Daphnia pulex: one gene and its partner. The protein of the gene in region 1 interacts with the protein of each later gene in a pairwise test. Links are inferred from orthologs where the notes say so. Each region holds a gene or a part of one and is shown on either strand. Other genes may lie near its edges.

Evidence for each region.
Region 2: the proteins of E3 ubiquitin-protein ligase NRDP1-like (region 1) and enolase-phosphatase E1-like interact in binary tests that used the Homo sapiens proteins (3 or more experiments, as listed by UniProt). The link is inferred for Daphnia pulex from reciprocal best matches to the Homo sapiens genes RNF41 and ENOPH1.

Annotation. Positions count from the first base shown.
Region 1 is NC_060021.1:11,015,562-11,019,174, forward strand, and holds E3 ubiquitin-protein ligase NRDP1-like, read left to right. Parts: upstream 1-1,311; 5' UTR 1,312-1,363; coding exon 1,364-1,453; intron 1,454-1,543; coding exon 1,544-1,686; intron 1,687-1,756; coding exon 1,757-1,913; intron 1,914-1,979; coding exon 1,980-2,267; intron 2,268-2,326; coding exon 2,327-2,602; 3' UTR 2,603-3,033; downstream 3,034-3,613. UniProt on the Homo sapiens protein: Acts as E3 ubiquitin-protein ligase and regulates the degradation of target proteins. Polyubiquitinates MYD88. Negatively regulates MYD88-dependent production of pro-inflammatory cytokines.
Region 2 is NC_060017.1:3,897,195-3,899,993, reverse strand, and holds enolase-phosphatase E1-like, read right to left. Parts: upstream 2,018-2,799; 5' UTR 1,882-2,017; coding exon 1,849-1,881; intron 1,772-1,848; coding exon 1,742-1,771; intron 1,667-1,741; coding exon 1,565-1,666; intron 1,502-1,564; coding exon 1,308-1,501; intron 1,171-1,307; coding exon 1,038-1,170; intron 968-1,037; coding exon 844-967; intron 777-843; coding exon 646-776; 3' UTR 631-645; downstream 1-630. Other genes in the region: uncharacterized protein LOC124193642, read left to right, coding at 1-262. UniProt on the Homo sapiens protein: Bifunctional enzyme that catalyzes the enolization of 2,3-diketo-5-methylthiopentyl-1-phosphate (DK-MTP-1-P) into the intermediate 2-hydroxy-3-keto-5-methylthiopentenyl-1-phosphate (HK-MTPenyl-1-P), which is then dephosphorylated to form the acireductone 1,2-dihydroxy-3-keto-5-methylthiopentene (DHK-MTPene).

The DNA of each region.
Region 1 (3,613 bases):
AGGCTCAAATGCAAATGTAAAAATAACTATACCTCCTCCATTGGCTCCATAGCCGTAACAGTCGACATCCATCCTCCACGAAATGTCTTGGCATGGAATCTTCTCTGTAAAAACGATATAACGTTAAGGCGAGGACTAGACCAAAATGACGACAAGTCACTCGATACTTTCAGCACATTTAGTAATCAGGGTACATATTTAGGTGTCCTAAGAGTGTCATCAGCAAAATCCAACAGCATATTTTACATATATGATAAGAAAACCAACCTTTATTCCTCGATTACATTCAAATCAGCGAATTCTGGAAGATAGGTTACAACCAACCGGTGCAAAACCAAGTGAGGTCAGAAATCAATCTAGACATAATTGATCATGAAAATCTACAAACCATTTCAGTGTGATACTGCTTTGGTCTACACTTCAGAATATTGCGATAGAGATTTAATCAAAATATTAATTTAGGTACACTAAATTTCATTGTAATCCTAGGGTCATCAGGACTATTTACCCATATACAATAGGAATTCGTTTTTACCTTCCAAACTAGTCGTCTTCAAGGCACCAATGTAGCCTAAATGCATGATTTGTCTCACAGCCCTTCAAAAATTGTTTCCGATCCTTGCACTCATCTGCCATCATCCCTCCTGGCATTGAAGATATCAACCTAAAATGAACAGATTAAGAGATATAATCAAACCTGTTCCTACATGAGGCAAATTAACAACTTAAATTGACAAGTTAGTTACTAGACAAGAGGAAATTTCATTCGCCTCATGACCGTTACTGCAACATTGATTTCAGACTGAACATGGAATTTCACTTAAAACTACTTATTATCAAACTTGTCCATTTTAACCAAAGAAACCCCAGACCAACCTGAGGCTTCTTTCTCTATAATATACTTCTTAGAGAAAGTCGGTTTTATTAGACTTCAACCTTACCAAAGCAATACACATATAGATATTAAAAATGTTCAGGCTAATTACTGTGTTAAGAGCGTTAACCATATCCTACAACTACGTTTTCAAAACTTAAATGAGAAACTAAAAAATTAGAAAACCCAGAATAACCACGTGTTGATCAACTTACATGTTCAGCATTTGAAGGATTGGTTTGAAATGAAAAGAAGTGACGTTGGCACTTCCATATGTAAACTTCGTTCCCTAACCGTCAGACTGCGTTTTACGGTTTAATTTTTCTACCGCCCGATGGCTCTGCAACACCTTGTTGTTGCATTTATTTAGGTACGTCAATTCTGTTCCCCCTTTATTAAAAAAGAAAGAAACGCGAACTCTTACTGAGAAGCAGGTGTGTTTACTTAATTAGGTCAAAGTTTTCTTGGCCGTTTTGTTAACCAAGAAAAATGGGAATTGAAATAAATCGATTTCAAGGAGAAGTTGATGAAGAATTGTTGTGTCCAATTTGTAGTTCAGTGCTCGAAAATCCGTTACAGGTAATAATGACAGTTCGCTTCCAAAAGCGAGAGTAGCAATAAAATTTCCCCAGAGGGAATGTGATGGATTTAATAGACTTGTAATTTCAGGCACCCAACTGTGAGCATGCATTTTGCTCTGCTTGCATTCACGAGTGGCTCTCGAGACAGCCAACTTGTCCTGTCGACAGACAAAACATAACCCCTCCTCAGCTGAGACCTGTTCCCAGAATACTTCGGAACCTACTATACAGGTTGGTGGTTTGGAAGTTTGAAACCTTATTATCAGTATGAAATTGTACCATTTCTCTATTATTTTTCTAGACTACAGCTCACTTGTGATAACTCTGTTTATGGGTGCACTGCAATATTGAAACTAGATGCCCTGGAGTCTCATGTACAAGAATGTGAGTTCAATCCAAAGAGACCGGTGCCATGTGAGCTCGGCTGTGGGCTAGTTGTGCCAAAAGACGAGTTGAAAGTAAGTGGGTTGTTTTACAGGTTACAACTTTAAATAGTACCTTATTTATGTTGATTGCATTTCCAGGAACACAACTGCGTGCGAGAGCTGCGCTCGTTGATGCAGGCCCAGCAATCGAAACTAGTTGAGGTGCAGGCGGAAGTAGCCGAGGGCAAATTTCAGATGAGCGAACAGAAACGAGAACTGCAGCTGCTGAAGGACTACATGCTAGCCATGCGGAACGCCAATCCTTCGCTGCGGATTCTGGCAGATCAGATGGAAGCCGACGAAGTGAGACGCTGGGCCGAAACTCTACCCAAGGCGAGAGTCCTGCGCTGGGGTGGCATGATCTCGACTCCGGACACGGTGCTACAGGTAATATCCTACAGTTGGCGAGCTCAATACATTCAATCAAATACGATAACCTTTTAAAGTTGCAGGCAATGATCAAGAGAGCCCTTTCCGAATCGGGTTGCCCACCGCACATCATCCAGGATCTGATGGAAAACGCCCACGAACGGCGGTGGCCGACGGGATTGTCGTCGTTGGAAATCCGCCAGCTGAACCGGCGTCAATACGAGAACTATGTCTGCCGGAGGATTCCGGGCAAACAAGCCGTGGCCGTCATGGCCTGCGACAACGGACATATGAATCCAGATATGATATTGGAACCGGGTCTCATCATGATTTTTGCTCACGGTGTAGAGTGACACCCCGGAATTCTTGTCAGATTATTAATCCAACAACATGTTTGTCTTCAGTGTCCTCGCGACCGGCTGGACCACTCCAGCGAGCTGACACTAATGAATTTGTCCCTTTTGTCCTTTAGTTCAGAAGCAGCAGTCCTCTCAACTTACTTAAAAGAATCTGATTTATCTTTTTTCGAATTGTTTATCGTCATCAGTTACTTTCATTGAATCGTGCTCAGTTTGGGGGCTAGGTGTAGGTTTTTATTTGAAATGTTTCTCAATTGGTGTCCCCGCTCTTCGGCGGTTGTAAATGTTCGATACTTGATTAATGATGGCAAAAATCTTGTTTTCTTTCATCATCAACTTTTATGTGCAAATAATGATAGTATATTCCGCCGATGCTGCGGAATAATAAATAATAAAACAATAACTGAGAAGTCAATCGTATGGTATAGACAGTGTGTGTTTGTGTGTATTTTTTTTTTATCTTTTCGTCGATTATTTTTCTGTTATTATCTTTTTCAAACCGGGTTTACTTCTTCTCTCTTTTCAGTTATAATCACATCATCGTCACACATGTTATGTAACATTTTTGTTTTTTTCAAAGTGTGGAAATGGGTTGAGGGTTGGGGGTGGATTTTTTGGAGATGTAATCGCACTACATCACATAGCCATGCTCATCCGAGTATTTAATCACATCACTCAAAAACACTTCCTCTTTTTTAATGAAGTTGATTTTCTTTCTTTTTCGAAACTTTGTTTTCGTCTCCATTCGAATGGCGGAGGGGAAGGATCGGCGGGTAGTGAAACAACATGATACGGGAAGCTAAAGAGATGATTTCAAAACAAGTTATTCACAATTAAGGACAAAATCGATGAGCCAGAGAGAGATAGAGAGAGAGAGAGAGACGTAATAATAAAGTGGTTGGATCGAAATCAAACGTCAAAGAAAAACTACATTGTGTTTGTTGTGTCTGTGCGAACATGTATATACAATTCTTGTACTGAGCTTCTGGAATCTGAAACACACAC
Region 2 (2,799 bases), on another chromosome or scaffold:
TTCGTCGTCTGATTCATATTTGTGCGATTCAAACTCTTCGGATCCGTCTCTGTTTGCTGGTGCATCCGGTCCTGAACTTGTGAGCGAATTGGGACTCGCCAATTGGAAGAGTAGCCATTGTGGTTCGGCTACTAGCGGCCATAGTGGCGTCGGTTCGTCGTGGACAAGTGATTCTTCTTCTTCTGACTTTTCGGGTGTGAGATGGAAAAGTGAATTGGGCGACGAACTGGAAGGCTTCGTCCACATCTTGGTTGGTTCCTAGTATTTCTTCTTGGCGCACGCTCTCTCTCTCTCTCTCTTCCACACGTTGCTCTCTCGATTACAGTGAAAAAACTTCCATTTGCTCAAGTGAACCAGAGAGAGAGAGAGAGAGACGATTCTTCAATGAAATCATGTTCCGACATACAGACATACACCAATAAATGCTTTTGAAAGCAACTAACTACCCAATTTCAGCCCTAGACAAATCACGGACAGCTCCTCCTACTCGAGGTTATCCTCCGATCTGTTATGTGTACATAACGTGTACAAAATAAATTGTGTTGTATCGAAAATAAATGTTCATCATGTTATGTAACCAATTTTTACGACACGCCATATCCAATACAAAAAAAGGATTGAAACAAAAACCACCGGCCTTATTGTTTATTTGAGTTGGATTTCTTTAAAATTGTGGCAAATGCCGAAACGTTGGAGAATTTCTTCATTTAATGGAGCGTTACCTGGTCGGACCAGCAGTTTGACCTGGACACCGGCTTCGTTGGCTGCAATAGCTTCTGTTTACAATAGAACAAGGCGATAGAGTTAATCAGTGTGTGAATTGCCCTAGTGTATCTCCTTTACCTGCTGGAAGGTCGGTAAGAAATAAAATCTTATCTGGTGCAACTCCAATCGATTTAGAAATCTCCTGATAACTGGCTGACTCGATTTTCAAACCGATTTTCGTATCAAAATGACCGGAGAAGTACTGGGAGAAAAATAGCATTTTAACATTAGCGGGAACATTCAAACTCGCTGTAGTGTGGGATGATTACTACCTGGAGCAAATTTCCAGCAACAGAGTGCTGGAACAAAAGTTTCTGCGCTTCGACGCTCCCAGATGAATAAATGTACACTTTTTGGCCGCTAGATGTCCATAGCTTTAGCGCTTCTTGAACGTCCTCGTACAAACTGTTTCAAAAGGAAAATTAAAGGAATGAATGTTTGGCAATTGTGTTTAATATTTCACGAAAATTTAAAAACAATAATGTGGAAATGCCATGGGCCCAAATAATAATTCTGAAATGGAAAGCAAAAAATGCATTTACTGGCCCTGAATTTCTCCAGATGAATATCCTTCTCTCCACATGTGGCCTTGCAATTGTTTTAAAGCTGTCATCTTTCTATCTTGATCCATATTCCAGTTTACGTTAGTAATTACAGAACTCTGTATTAAGGTGGGAGTTTCAAAAGAACTGGCAATTTCAGGCACCCCACCCATCTTAGTTGCATCTTCTGTTGCCTGTGAATCAATTATTATACATGTGTTTTGACAGCATGTATTCAGGATAATACTCAATCATACCTGTTTCCTCAACGATTCAACATCATCTTGCACTTCTAGTGAATCCCAGTTAGACTCCAAATAACTTTCAAGTTTTCTTCTTATATATGGAAACAGCTCATCCTGAAAAGTCAGTCCAGGTAATATTGCCATTTTACTTAAACTTTCACTTAAATGGATCATACTAATAAAACCTACTTTGACAAAACTGATGCTTGTTGTGGTTCCCTGTAGAAAACAAATTACATGTTCACTTCAGAGTACTTAAAAATCAATACTTACAGAAAGGGCCTAGTTTGGTTTACCTCAATATCTAACAGTAAACATTTGATATCCATTTCTGCCACTGTGTCGAATGTCCAATGTCAAAATTGATGGCTCAATTTAGACTTATAAAAACGAAGTGCCAACACGTGTGGAAACCGACTCAAGCAGACAAACTGTACGATCGAAAATGTAAATTGAATGACAGGAAAAGATTGGAATCAAATTGTAAACAAGTTTTCGCCATCTAGGAACCGCGCACAAAACACGATACCAAATACAAGAGGATATTCAAAATTTCTACTGGTCAAGTTGAGTTGCATAAATTGGCAACGTGGCTTCTCCTAAATTTCACGAAAGTACGTCTGCTGTACGGTAAACGGCGGATTTTTCGTTGGTCGTCGTATTAACCAAGGATAACATAACAAGTGAAATCCAACTTATCAGTTTACCATAAGTCAAAGATTAATTTGATTGGAATTCTGAAGTCACATAAAAGAATAGAAACAACATTTTGCCATATAGAGACATCGCCAAAACAAAGAAGTCAACTGCTCTAACCTTGACCACCGTGACATTTCTAATAAGGTAGTAAACTGACATCCAAAGTCGAAAAAATTCTGTTTTGTGGCTACCCAGTATCATTAGTTAGTAAACACTAATGGTTGGTATTATTTAAAAAAAAAATTGTTTGACTTTGGATATAAGTTTTCTAGTGAACTGAAACCTTCAAAATTTTCTGAAAAAGTGTATTTAATTCGATTTTTTGGCAAGCCACCATTTAAAATAAATTATTTATATCTCATAAACTATCAAACGTAAAAAATTGCAATATGGACCAATCTCTCATTCCATTTTCTAGAGAACCTTGGATAACTGATTGGTGGTTTCATGTGTAAGTTCACTTGTCATGTCACTGAACTTTCTTTGTTGCAGTCTAATATGGTTTAAAAGTATTGATCTGCTCTTACGTCTATCTAATTTTTAAGACA